3 linked regions of the Drosophila melanogaster genome follow. The protein of the gene in region 1 purifies or fractionates together with the protein of each later gene. This does not show direct contact. Each region holds a gene or a part of one and is shown on either strand. Other genes may lie near its edges.

Region 1 (5,105 bases):
CGCAATTCGGCGAACTGCCTGTACTCCTTAGATACTTTCTGTAACCCAGATACTAGAGTCGGGAAATTTCTCCCCAAAAACACGGGAAAACAAACTGGACTGGGATTAGAAACCACCCTCACGGGGCCCCACCTCAGCGCTCAACCTTATCACGTAGTTACAATATTTTCCTGTCTTTCCACCCACCACCTCGCTTCGCCAGCACTGCGCAAGCGACTTTTCCGGCGGGGAGAATGGGGTGGCAAACACAAAGCGACTACGTCATAAAACAACAGACGGAACTGGTTTCCATCTCTAAGACGAGGAGCGTAGACCCAATAAAACGACCGACTTTCATCCCTCCACCGGGTCAGGATTACGGAGCTGTTTCTTCCACACTCTGCGGAAAACTTGACGACAGGAACGTGTATTTCTTCCTTCATTCTGATTTTGGGTGATTTGAGTTAATTTATAGTATGACTTGAGGGGTAGCAAATCCAGTTTACGAATGGGGTTAAGGTGGAAAAGGGTTATTGAATGTCTGCGGGTTGAGTTTAGGCCTCCCGTTGCTCTCGTCAAGGAAAAATATTAAAGTCAAGCGATTGATGATTTTTGTCGATCTGTGGTGAAAACAATTTGCCTGGCAGTTCAGTTCTTATATTAAGATGCACTATGGCCCAGAATATATATTAATAAAAAGTTGGTGTAAAGGATCACACCCCTTTAAATGGATTTGCATTTCGATAAACAAGAACTTAACGAACTTGTTCGGTTTAATCAGTTCTAAGTAAAATTTTAAAGCAAACCAAATTGGAAATTTAAGCCAGGAAAATGTATATACTTAATGCGCAAATATGTTGATATTATTAAATAAACCCATTTTAAGGACAAGATTTTACGTTCCTTGAGTTAAGGTAACTTTGAATGTTATTACCGTTTTGACAAGGAGATTTTAAAAAACGACAAGATGTTAGGGATGTTTTAACATCTATGAATTAGCATTCTATAAAAAGAAAATACACTCCTTAAAGTGTTTAAAGGGAAATCACAACAACGTGAATTTCCATACCATCTGTAGTTTAAGAAAAGCGGTTGTGCGTAATGGTTGCGATTGGATTGCGAACAGTCCTGATGAAATCAATAAACAAACTCAGCTTTGGTACCCTTTTTTTCGGCTAAACAATGCAACGCCCTAGGAAAGGAATGCACTTCTAGGATATTTTCGAACCGTGTAGACAGCGGCAACAAAAACAAGGATAAGAAGAACAAGAGCAGGAAAAGGACTCCATGCAGAAAGAAGAGGGGGAGGAGAAGGAGGAGGCATCAGCGAAACTACCCTTGTCACCCTTGAACGTTTTCCATTGAAACGGGTCTGTCTCCGAGTCGCAGGACGTGGAAAAAACACGACCAAGAAGTTAAAGTCCTTTCACAAACACACAGACACACACATACACACACGGTTACAGCGCTACATTTGTGTTCGTGCAGCGAGGATACGACGCAAAAACATAGGGGGATGAGGACGAGGGTTGTATTCACACAAGTTTCTCTACATGTCCGTATGTAGGTGGTTTCTGCGCCGCAAATCGTCCGTATATTTGTGTATGTATATTTTCCAAAAACGGAAAAGCGTCGAGAGGAATCTTTTGGGAAATCTTGGGAGTAGTGAAAATCAATATTTGCATTTGGCAGCAATTGGACTAAAGTCTATTTATCAAATTCTGTTGATAGTGGCACGCTCGTGCCTCCTCTTTCGCTCTCTACGTGCATCTCCTTCGCGTACACACCTTTTTTAGCAGCCGCATGCAAGACGCTTGGCTTTTGTTGTTGTTGGGTCGCGCGTTCAGTACCGATTTTCGCTAATTGATTCGATTTTTAATTTGATGCGGTGCGGATTCCGTTTTGAATTGGCTTGGCTTTGCCTTTTCAGCGGATTTTCGCGAGGCGAAATTCGTTTTCCAGAGAGTTCTTATGCGTAATCCGTTCGCTCCGACAATCGTGTATTCCTTATTCCGACTGAAGAAGATACATCCGAAACCGAAACTGAAAACACAACATAACACTCGAGTCGCTCGCTCTCTCTCTCTCTCTCTATCTCTCTCTCTGTTGCTTTTGCCGCTCATCAACATCATCATCATCGCCTATGTAGCCTAAACAAAATATAAAAAATAAACCCAAATGTATCTCACAGTTTGTTTTTTAATTTTGATGTGCGCGCGCGCTCCAAAACCGTCGCTCTCTCTTTCGTTTCGCCCGCTCTCTTCTTTTCCTATTTCTTCCGCTCTCTGTTTCTCCTTCGCAGGGCGCACGGACACAGGCACACTCATGCACGGGAGGCTCACATGCACATTTTATCTTCTATTTATTTTCACTTATGCCGCAAAGAACTGCGTTTAATACAGAGGGTCGATGCAGAAGTTTGGTCAGATGTACTGTTACTAACCTCAAACAATCGAATCGCTTGATGGGGCATAACGGCTAATAGGATAATGGCGTCCGCTTCGGTCCAGGGTATCAGGGGCGTATGGGTCCTAAACAAGATTTCCTTTTATGCGGATTACACAGCTAACATTTCCCCCAACAAACTTAGTTAATAGCACTGAATTGATTTACGCACATATATTATGCTAACTTAATTCGTGCCCCATGGCTTTTTTAACTCACTTGTCAAATTCATTCACTCTACGCGGTCCTAGGGTATCCCATAGTCGTCACTCCACTTCAATTCGATTTAATCGTCAGTTCTTATTCGTTTATTATGCGAGTGTTTGATCGATGTAAAAAGCTGGCAAACTCTTTGAAAATCGCTTATCGTCGCTGTGCTTACAGATTGTTTACATTTTCCAAGCGTTTTCGGGCGAATCTTATTTACCCTTGGTTCCACCCTCGTGCACTTTTCCTTCTGCAAGCGAACGAGAAATCGAAAAAATCCATGAACAATTATTCCTATTGTGCGCCTGCTTCTTCTTCCAATTACTTTGGCGGCGTGTTTTAGCTGCAGTCTGCGGTGGCGCCCAGCTTTTTGTTTGGCCCAATCGAACGGCTCCAATTCTGACCCACTTATTGCGGCGGGGACTAGGATTCGAATTCGGCTCAAAATCTTCACTCCAACCTTCACGCACGCATTTAACCATCAAACTGCAAAACTCACGTTCATGCGCTCGCCGCTGCCGTTGCCTCTTCCTCTTCTTCTCTGCCCGGCTCTCTCGTTACGACGCTGCCCTTCTGCTGCTGCTGGTTTTTGTTGTTTTTGTCATTCGCGCCCCTGTTCGTTCAGGGTATCGCGGGCATAGCCGAATTGGAGGTTTAGTTTTTGATCCTCACAATGGCTGGTCACACTGATTCTGCTAACTGTTATATTTCAATTTTTATAAATAGTATAAATGATTATAATAAGTATAAATGATGGTCAATGAATGGCCATGAACATTTTTGTGATTACAAATCAGAGGGGAATCATACTGCTGAAATTAAAAGGAATTTTAAATTAAAATTAAATAGTGTTTCACCTTAAATTTTGGAATTCCAAATGAGTTCCGAAAAGACAAAACAGCATTCAACATTTTAACAACAATGCATGAACCACTAAGAATTTTTATGGATTCTGCGTCTAAATTTCAGACTCTACTCATTAGAAGATGAGCTTTCTGTTTAGCGAAAGTTTTTGAAAGTTAAACTCCATCCAATTGGACCCTATTAAGCAAATCGCAGAACTGTTAAGCCCGCCATTATTCAACGAAAGCTTTGAATCATTTTTAAAACATGGGGAGATGTTTTCAGGCAAAAAACACAACACACCAAAAGGGAATTATCAAGTTGCCTAGGCTCGACCAAGTTTCGCCCATCCGGAGCGCATTGTGATTGGTGAGCGGAGAGAGCGAGCGAGAGCGCGGTACATTAGCATTAACGGCGCATGTGGCGCGAAAATGCGGAGGGAATCACCTTGTGGTTGTTGTTGTTGCCGCGTGCACCACCCTTAAAGAACTTGTTTTGCACTGACAGAAATTTTGAGCCGCCCGTGGCTGGAAAAATGCAATTGCAACAGTGACCGTGGATAATTGGGAACTCGAACTGCGGGCGGGGTGCGCAGGTAAAAGGCGCAGGTGCACCGGAGCGCAGATACAGGTAAAAGTGAGCGGTTATCCTGAGGAAGAAACAAGTAATCATGCTGGCGTGATCGTCTATTTGAAGTGTAAATATGTATTGTAATGCAATATGGTATGTATTGAAGTGTGTTGGTATGAAGGAAAGCAGGCCGGAATACTGATTACATGCTACGTATGTAGGCAGATTCACAGAGTTAGTCAGTCGCGTTCTTATAATACTGTAAGCTAGGCTTATAAAGTAAATCTCCCCACATTCCCCCGGATATACGCGTCCTCAGCCAAACTCCAGTTCCTCGATGAGCACGTTCTGTAATTTCTGGCGCACGCGCAGACGCCGGCGGCTGTCCAATCTTTGCAGGAAGGGCATCAGACTGAGCAGGAACATGCGATCCGCCTCGTCCTGGAGATCTCCACCAGAGGGATCCGTATTCGTGGCCACATCCGTGCTGATATACTTGAATGGCAGATCGGCGGTGGGTGACTGCGAATTGGAGAACACCTTGGCCTCCTGCTCGCTCTTCAGGCTGGATCCGCCGTGGCTAGTGTTATTCGCCTTGGTCTTGGTCACCGCCTGCTCCATTTCGTCGTCGTCATCGAGCACTTCTATGGTGAATACACCGGAACTGGCAGCATCGGCACGATTGCCGCGTTCCTCTTCCAAGTTCTCCGAGGCGGCATCTTCGTCGAAGTCATCGTCATCCTCCTCGTCCTCCTCCCTCTGACTGGGCTCCGACTTAAATCTCTTATTCTCCGGCGGCTGGCAGTCGCGATCCTCGAAGAACGAACTGATGTCCGAGAAGCTGGGCTGGTGTAGCTCCGAGTCATAGCTGTGGCTGAGCTCGCATATGGGCTCCGTAGCAACAATGGGCATTGAGTCATACTTGTCCGGCCCCAGCACATTATTGTTCTCCGTCCAGTGTCCGGGTGGGTGCTTCTTGCTGCTGCTTCGCGTCTGACGCATGATATTCTCGTGAACGGCGGGCTCCATGAACCGCATATCGTTGTAGAAGCGCCACGACG
Region 2 (4,655 bases), on another chromosome or scaffold:
ATAATTTAAGAGCTTTAAACATCAATTTAGAAAAGAAAATAAAACAACATTAAAAGATGATTTTAAATAATATAAAGTACGTTAGCAAAACAAAATCTTAAGGATGATAAAAAGTGTCACTGGCAAATCAGCCAATAACTAATACCACACTTTCCTTAAGCCTATAAATGAAAACATATTGGATAATAAATATAAATTATTTCGAGCAAATACAACAAATTTGCGCCATTCTCGCCGCGAGTTTCTCACGCCGGCGCGCTCTTCTGAAGCGCCGAGTTTGCTCTGCCCACGCGAGCTGCACACAATCGCGTGCTGAAATGAAAACCAGGTCAGGGCCGCCGTGCTCACGTTACCCGACCCGCTGCGCTGATGCATTGCCACCCACTCCGGCGGAAAGCTCCCGACTTGTTTGCTGCTCAGCGAATAAGCTCTGTGGACTAAAGCCCTCGTAAGTGGTTCCGCATTTGCTTTGGTACACAATCAATTTGATCGATTTGATTAATTAGTAACAAATATATTTCTGTATAAATACGATCATAATGGTTATTGAACTTAAAAAGTAAAAAATCGAGCACCCGCACTAAACATCGACGGAAAATCATAAGTAGAGAACAGTGAGACACAGAAACATAAACTCTAGACAGAGCAGTTGCACTTGCTTTGCCATTTCGGTACGGTTTTCGGTTAGGCTCAGTTAGACAAAGGTAACACAAAGTAGTAATTACAATTAGTTGGCAAATCTAAGGTTTCTCAAGGCACATTTTGGCTTGGCATTTATTGAATTTGCCCCTCTCCTTCAGCGGCGCATCTTCTCCAGAATGGGAACCACCATGTCGAACTTGGGCCGCTTGCCGGGATCCTCGTTCATGCAGATTGAAATCAGCTTGGCCATGTGCGTCGATGTGCCTGGCGGAATCTTGACCCGCAGACCTTCCAACGCAATTTTCATGCCGCACTCCATGGGCGACCACTCGGCGAAGGGTACCTCGCGCGTAGTCAGCTCCCAAATAAGAATAGCAAAGCTCCACATGTCACAGGCCTCCCAGTTTCGATCCGCCTGCTTGCGCTGCAATGTTTCCGGCGACATCCAAGCCGGTTGATAGATGCGTCCCTTCTCTTGGAAAGAGAATTTGGCATCGCCCATGTTGATTCTCGCCGTCAGATCATCGTCGATCATCACGTGATGACTGTTCAGGTGATATGTTGGAATAATGCGCTCCAGCGAGTGCAGGAAAGCCATTCCTCTCGCAACATCCAAGGCAAAGCTTACCGCCTGGCTGGTGTCCACCACGACGCCAGTTGCTCCATGCAGCAGGCTAAACAGCGAAGAACGTGGCATAAACTAAAGAAAATAGAATGGTTACCTTATACGGTCATTTCTGAAGTTATTTAAATTCAACGCACCTGACTAATTGTCACCAGATTGGGTGGCGAATTGCATGCTCCAATAATAGGCAAAATGTTAGGGTGCGAAAAGATGCGGAGCTTGGGAAACTCCTCGTTAAAATCTCGCGATATACGAGGCGTGCACTGACGCACGGCCAGGATCTTAGCTACCACATCGTTCTTTTGCCAGCGTCCGCGCCAAGTTTCTCCTGATGGCGTCACCGACAGCTTGGTATGCAGGTCTAGGTCTCCCATACTGATTCCCTTGAAACGGGACAAAGTAGCATCCCGGGATCTCGTCTTCAATCCCTGCCAGCTTTGTTCCTTGAAGCTGATAACCTTAACCTCTCTGCCGCTCTTTTCTACAAGATCCTGAAGCCTCTTGGCCAGACTGGGTTTGGCCTTTTCAAGAGGTGTGTGCCCGTCCTTGTTTGCGATTCCCACCTGGGCTCCCGCATTAAGCAGATCCTCGCAGATCATGTCATAGCCCCAAAAACAGGCGTAGTGCAGGGGGGTGTTTCCATGCTCGTTTACCGCATTCACATCGCTGCGCTCTTTTATCAACTGTAGAGGCAGATAAGTTCTTAAATAAGTTACCTAGCTGGTTTCTGTTTTATCTCACCATCTGGACCACGTCGCGGTGGCCATGAGCTGCCGCTAAATGGAGTGGGATGTCGTCGCCCATATTGGTGGCGTTCACACGCGAACCGCGCTGCAACAGAGTCTCCACAAGCTTGGCGTGGCCCTCTTTAGCCACCCAATGCAACGGGCTGAAGCCATGGTCGTCTCTAAAGTGTACGAATTTATTTGTTTTATTTATTTTAATTATGGTGGAATTTGAGCATTATAGACCTTATATACTTATGCTCTTAGAGTTAGGTATGGTCCTTTTTAAAGGATTATAAGACTAATTATAAGTAAAGAACAATATAAACATGGCAAGCGGGTTTTATGCTCGCGATATGCACACAGGCAAATATGAACATACGTATACTTATATATTTGATTCGTCTGTTTACACAACACAAGAATAAATCATGACGTCACTTAGACTTGAAAGACCCTCGAAATCTTGGGCGTATTTAGGCGATGACTAAGTAAACGTTCCTGGTAGAGGGGGTTGCTACTTGAGGGCTTAACTTTCTAAGTGCACTATAAAGCAACTAGAAAGTGATGGAGTTAGTTGCCTCTATTGGATTTACCCCAAATTGTTGTCGTGCTCCGTTTCATCCAACCAGAGGCGCACTTGAATCGAGTTGCCCTCGCGGCACCAGTGGAATATGTCCTCCATTTTTACTCCTCACTCCTTTATTCCGCTCGCAGTCACTGATATTATAGGTTTTCCAACCTAATTTACATCTAGAAACAGATTTAAACGCTTAAAATGCGACAGTTGTGAGAATTCCAATTAAAATTTGTGCAGTGTGGACGTTTTAAATATTTAACACACTGCTCGCGTTGCCAACTGCTGCAAAACATCGACAAGTGTGTATCGTGGTATCGATGACATACACCAATTGTGAATGTTTAAAGCAAGAAGAAGAAGGAATACAACGTGCACCGCAACTATTATTTAAAAACATTGTTGTTTACCTCATCTCTTTGTATTAATTAAACCATTACAAGCCCGAAAATGAAACTCAGCACATACAACTTCTTGACCTCCGTGGCCATCAAGGGCGTCAAAGTGGGATTTCCCCTGAAACTGACGGTGAGTTCCGGTGTCCCAAGTCCTGGCTATTGATTGTTTCACGGTCTATTTGTTTTTGCATTTAGATTAACAAAAAGGAAGTGGTGGAGAGCGAATTTAATCCAACTTTTGTGGAGAGAATCCTTCCCAAGCTGGACTGGTCAGCGGTCTATGGAGCTGCTCAGGTGGTAAGTGATAGAATGGTTCTAAAAGAACCATAGAATGGTTCTAAATAGTGTTACTGATTTCAAATTTACTGGTTTCAAATATTTTTAATCAGTTTTAAACTATTAAAACCTGTTATTTTTTATATTCGTTAATAATTGGAATTTGTTTTTTAGGCGGAACTCACAGAAGACATTCCTGCCGTTCAGCCTGAAAACATTGTGGAGAATGAACTGCTTTTGCAGAAGCTTCACCATCTGCTCTTCGAGATCGACGTGCTCGAGGGTCAACTGGAGTGCCCGGAGACAGGTCGTGTGTTTCCCATCAGCGATGGTATACCAAACATGCTCCTTAACGAGGACGAGGTCTAGATTACACCCATGTGCTTTTTGTACCATAATCCCCATAATCCCCTTTCTCCAGACGCGCATTAATATTAAATAAGTTTGTTAGTTTTAAAGTTTGTTTATTTACGAGTTACTAAAAACAATTGGAGCTTGGATGGAATGTGACTTCGTTTTTTTTTTTTTTTTTTTTTTTTTTTGTTGAGTCTACGTACTCGTGTGGTATTTGGTAGGTGTTTAAGGATAAGAGCAAAAAACACTACGACATATATAAATCGTAAGTCTGAACATGTGGAGGGTGGTGCTTGGCTACTAAGATTCATCTTCACTTCTTTGGCACTCTGGGGGAGGTTCCAGATGAGATACTCCCGCCTAGTTGCATTTGATGTTGGCGCTCTTGTTGCTGCCTTGGGCGTAGATGCTGCCCTTCGCCAATCCGGACTGGGGTCCTTTGCAGAGTTCCGATTTCCCACCCCTTGGCTTATAGGTGCGATCTGTGAGAAGACTAGCATTAGGTCCTTGAGTGATCTGCTTTTGAAGAAGCTTCGTGTTGGGTCCATTCCAGGTGACATAATCGGCTCTGAAAATAATTTTAATTATATTCATAGATGAGTCTTTGTTTTTATTACTTCGACATTAAGTTGAACTACTTACAGCAAAAGATTTTCATCTGCACCCTTGCTTAGCTGGGAATTGGGTCCCAAACTGGCCATTCGTTCGATAATAGATTGAAATTCAGCTGATTCCGAATTATGCGAATTTCCAAGGGAGTGCTGACGATGTCTGTTGAGAATTGGTTAAATTTGTATAAAAGTTCTTTTTATATTAAACTAAAATATTTCAAAGATTTAATATTTTATATTGAGCTTAAGGCATGCCGAAAGAATATAGTTAACAGGTTCAAAAATAATATCTCAAAAACGGATTTCCCGATACTATCCATGCGAACTCCTTGAAAAACTCATGCGCAAAACGATTGATTTTACTTAGCGAAACGGTAAAAAAACGGTTATCGGAACGGTTTTTGGTTTTAGCGGGCATACTTCAGTGAATCGGTTTTGGTGCGAGCA
Region 3 (4,898 bases), on another chromosome or scaffold:
TCTTGGCGGATGCTGAGCGTCCCCACGTCTACGTCCGAAATATTTGGTAGATGTGGAGCCGATGCACTGCCCACACAGTGGAGCATGGAGTGAAAATGAGCTCCGATCTCGATTTCTTTATGTTTCCGAAGCGTGTTTATGTGGCGGGCATTCCAAAACCGAAGCCCACTGCTAATAAGGTCGAAACGCTCGAAAAAGTGAGAGAGACTGAAAATAACAACAGCTTTAAACGAGCGCATTGACATTTCGAGATAATGGATAAATAATATACAAAATACGCCCACAAAATGGAGCGACGGCGAAATTTGCCAAACAATCGGACAAAAAATGTGTAGAAAACAGGACAAAAGCCAGAGAAATTATGACAAAACATCGAAAGACGCGAGATATTTAAATCGGTGAAGAGAAGAGCGAGGAAAGAGCGTAACAAAAAAAAACAATAAATCTACGTACAGATACCAAACAAATCTTAGCGTACGTTGTATCTTAAAGATAAATCGCATTTGTGGAGGAGGGGAGTGGGAGGCCAGCCGCCAGCTGCTAGGCAAGCAAGAAATATAGAATGAAATATCTATATGTTTGTGTACACAGAGAATAATATAGTATTTTTTTGATAAACAGTAATATAAATAATGCAGTACTTCTTGATTACATAATCAAATACTATACATTGTTGTTGAATGGAACCCTTTGCTCAGGTTTATATCCATATACAAATACAAAAAAAAGCATCATCGTGAAAAGCGAATTATGCTAATCTGACTAGTCCTAAGATTTCGCTAGCACGTCATAAGATATAGCCTAGTGATCTATTATAATCCAAATTTTTTCTCTGTGGACCAGCGTAGTCAGGGGCAGACATCAAACGGCAGACGTCGACGCTGGCGCCGGCAGCGCGATGAGGTAATTTTCAGCTTGTTTTCTAAAACGCTCGACATCCGAAATGGGGAAAAGGGTTTTCCGATGGGTTTTTGGCGCGCATCGCGCAGGCGCAACGTGCATTTGGCGTTTGAACTTAGTTACACAATGGAACTGCCTTTTTGTGGCACATATTCCACTCGGAATGGATAAAAATAACACCATATGTCACACACTTATGACCGCGCACTCTCGTCATGTATATACCTTCTTTAATTCCCACAATTGGGCTGGAAACTCTTTTGATATTTGAACTTGAACGATATGCACGATATGCGATATTCATATATGTACGAATCGCCTATACATATATATGGGTAGATATATGTATATATATATATATTTCAATAGCGATATCGGGCGCGGCACAATCGAACGAATTGGCACCGACGACGGACGAAACTCGAATGAGCGGGCCATAGAAGCGAGTGGTTCGCTCGGTTCCATGGGCAGTGTGAGCAGCATGAGCAACAGATGGGAGAGCCGCGAAGAGAGCCACCTGCTGCTAGGCTTCTCTCCTCTCTGATTCTTCCGATTCTCCTGATCGCCGTCTGCAAATGTAAACAAAACAAAAGGTGCCAGCCAGAGGGAGGGCGGTGAAATGAAGGGGCAGCGGAGGAGAAGGTAGTGGCCACAAGGTGATGGACCCGTGCCAGTGGTGACTAATCTTTTGTTGCCCAACTTATGGCTCTTTCTTTCTTCTCAAAAGTGAGCAGAGAGGAAGCGAGAAATTGGAAGAGGAAGTGCGCTTAGTCACATGGGGTTTTCTAAGAAATGGACATTACTCCTGCTTTTCAAGGGCTAAGCTAGTCAAGCGATTGGAGCGTTGTAAGTATTAGTATTTTGAAATGTTTTGGTAATGACGTTTTGTTTTGATGATGTTATATGACCCAAACATTTCTTATCTATAATATCAATGACTCTTTGACGGACTAGATTATTCCCCAAAAGGAATGCTTCTAAACAATCAACAATATTAACGTAATCTTTATGGGTTCAAATCTCTATAGATACTATAATCTAAACAGGACCAGTCTCTTTTTAGGAAAGTATCTGCATTTAAAACTCTTACACAAACAGAATACATGAGAAATTTCAATCTCAGTTGAAATAATTGAATACAACAGTTTCCAAAAACGTGCATAAACAAAGGAGGCAAAATAATAGCCTGTTGACTTCAATTAGGTCCAATTATTGACGCAATTGAGGGCCTGATCCCGGGAAGAGTGAATCTCTATGCCACTGACAGCGGGATGTAGGCACGAGTCTTGTGGGTCCTCGTCTCGGATCTTTGAGGGTTGCAGTTGCACAGCTAACTCCACAATTAACTTGAGAATTGAAGGCAATTGCCAACTCCCGCGAATCCGGCGCTTCTTCTTCTTCTTCTTCAGCAACCGGGGGTTATCTTATCGCGTATGGAATGTACCCCATATACATATACACCATGCTATTCTGCACGCTCATCCAGCTGCTCAGATAAAGCCGTCAAACCAAACCAACTGCTGTGCTGATAATGCGAGGCAGTCGCAGTTGGACTCTCGTTAATTGAATTATATTCGCAGCTTTGGCTAAAAAAAAAATGTTGCACTTTAATTAGCATAAAACGTAGACGATGCTTACAAGCAAACAAACGAACAAACATACAAATGCGGGCGTTCCCTTTTTTTGCCCCCTTTTGTTGTTACACTGGAAACTTGGTTAAAAGGGCGGAATTCGCGTGACCGACAAAAACAAATGTGCGGGACATGTGGGAGAGACCAAAATCCGGACAGTCGGCGCCAACAACTGGGGGTAGGGATAACGATGATGACTCCACCCCGGAGGAGCACCCACTAGGCGGCAACAACAAAATGTGCGAACGAATCGAAATGAGTTCTTGTTGGCCAGGCCGCAGCTGAATCTCCACTGGCTTTGTTTGACGCGTTTTCATGCCGCGGGAAAGGGGCTTTAAACTGATTTGTGCACTTGGGGTTTTAAACATTGGTTAACTTACAGAAACACACGGCGAAAAGGGCTTAAAGAGAGCTAAAATCGAGTAAATAAAACTAACACTTTACAAAATATTCCGTAGTTAAGACAGTGTGACCGTGCGTCAAGCAGCTATCGATAAGTCATTGCGGCTATCGGAACCAATTAGCGTTTGGGTCACATAATTACAAAATAAATAAAAAATATATAAATTTACAAGTTCTAATCATAGTTTGCCTATACTTCTATAATATTTGAAATTACTACGGCAAGCAAAAAGTAGTCTGCACACAGAGCTGTTATGCCAATGGCAGACTGTTAAGTGCAGGGTCACCCCAAATGTAAAGGCATGAGCGCCAAATTTAAAATAAAACCCCCAACTAATGCAGTCTAACTAAAACAAGGCTTAAAGATTAAGCGATTTGTAGTCGAATCCTATAAAAACAACATATCCACATGATTAATGAAGGTTACAAGCCCCACCAAAGCGCACCCCCACACAAACTTGATAAATTTGTCTGGCTTTCCTGAATTTTCTCCGAGACGATCATCGTTTCCGTTTTGATTTCGGCGATTGGAGGGCAACCAAGTGTGCAACTTACAACCCTCAGAAAATAGACGAGCAATCTAAGGGCCGAAAAACAAAAACTAGCCAAAATCATAAAAATAAGCAAGCGAATTCATGACTTCGCCAAAGTCAACGGACCGCACATAGCGCGCGTCTTTGGGGGCCCTTTCACTGGGGTTGCTTTCCCTATAAGGCAGCGAAATAAAAATAAATTTAATGTTCCTGTTTTTTTCCCTTCTCCTTTCTCGACTTGTCAAGGATATCATATGCGCGAATACATGGGTATATGTGTACGCGTAATTTATGCTGCAAAACATCTCGAGCATAAACAGGAAACAAGCGTCCACGGTCCTTCTTTCGCAACACTCTTAAAAAATGAGAAGTAATTAAAGACAAGTTGCAAAATTATCAAAGGGGGGGATAAACATTCCTTTTGCTACTATCAAACTTGAATTTAATTATTGGAAATTTCAAGAGAAACATTTTAAAGCGAACTTTCAGAAAACCTTCATACATAAAACACTATATTCTTCATATAAAAATTTCTCTCTGTGCACAATGCCCGCCCCTGCGCGCTTGAGAAATTTCTTGAAACGAAGTCAAGTTCGTGGCTTGGGCGCAAATTCAATTAATTTCAATCGAACGCCTGTCGTTCTGGGCATCCGGCATTGGGCATTGGGCATTGAGCATTGATGTCCCGCGATTCGAGGCCTGCCAAACCGATACGCAGATAGAAGATGCAGGATGTGCAGATATGGACTCACCCCTCGGGCCGATAAATCTCGGAACTGGCACACTCGCTTTACACACACGCCCGTTATGACTGCTGGCCAAGGAGGAGCAAGCGAAATGGATGAGCAGAACGCATCGACATGTGTCCTGGTGCTCCTGCTGCGTCATTGCTTTAGTTCCGGTTGAGTTTGTGCCAGCGCTCGCCAAGATTTATGTCACTTTGTTGGCCCAACAAAGAGGCCAGGGAGTTTGGTTTTCGGTAATGGCAAATAAAAACCCGATTCGCAAATCCTTTCCTCGAGTGACCCACTTGGGATTTGGGACTTGGGACTGACCAGCAGCGAGGAGCAACGCTAATTGAGCGATCTTCCGGCTGGCTAATGGGTTAAACCGGCCAAGCCGAATGCCCATATATCATGTGCTTGGGCCGTGATAATTTCGGCATTTTATCAACCAAAATTTAGAGGGTTCTTGACTCTGCCGGAGATTTATGGCCATCTAATTGAGTTTGTAGTTTTCCGAATGCATTTCTGGTTTCTAGTTGCGGATGAATCTGAGCTCTTTGGAGACGAATAAATTGGTTGAAATATAATAAGTTTTTTTCATATTTTAAGTACAACAAAAACTAGAAAAACTTGAAAAACGTAGAAATTTATGATGACAAGAAGTTTGAGTGTTTTCAAAAGAACTAATTGCTTGAAATTTGTAATTG

What was found. The genes of interacting proteins can lie anywhere in the genome.
Region 2: the proteins of wech (region 1) and Ilk purify together in Drosophila melanogaster (affinity purification with western blotting, with the first as the bait; one study listed by BioGRID). This does not show direct contact.
Region 3: the proteins of wech (region 1) and rhea purify together in Drosophila melanogaster (affinity purification with western blotting, with the first as the bait; one study listed by BioGRID). This does not show direct contact.

What each region holds. Positions count from the first base shown.
Region 1 is NT_033778.4:7,486,690-7,491,794, forward strand, and holds the start of wech (wech), read right to left. Parts: upstream 3,135-5,105; 5' UTR 2,644-3,134; intron 2,004-2,643; exon of another isoform or gene 1,767-2,003; intron 1-1,766. Other genes in the region: Coop (corepressor of pangolin), read right to left, coding at 4,360-5,105. UniProt on the Drosophila melanogaster protein: Vital for larval development. Plays a role in tumor formation. A crucial component for the physical link between integrins and the cytoskeleton in the epidermal muscle attachment sites.
Region 2 is NT_037436.4:21,215,086-21,219,740, reverse strand, and holds Ilk (integrin linked kinase), read right to left. Parts: upstream 2,841-4,655; 5' UTR 2,678-2,840; coding exon 2,589-2,677; coding exon of another isoform or gene 2,585-2,588; exon of another isoform or gene 2,175-2,584; coding exon 2,009-2,174; intron 1,951-2,008; coding exon 1,405-1,950; intron 1,343-1,404; coding exon 797-1,342; 3' UTR 501-796; downstream 1-500. Other genes in the region: Trmt112 (tRNA methyltransferase subunit 11-2), read left to right, coding at 3,020-3,097, 3,163-3,264, 3,418-3,612; CG10508 (uncharacterized protein), read right to left, coding at 3,958-4,165, 4,240-4,368, 4,629-4,655.
Region 3 is NT_037436.4:8,543,103-8,548,000, reverse strand, and holds the start of rhea (rhea), read right to left. Parts: upstream 3,001-4,898; 5' UTR 2,912-3,000; intron 1,327-2,911; exon of another isoform or gene 1,126-1,326; intron 1-1,125.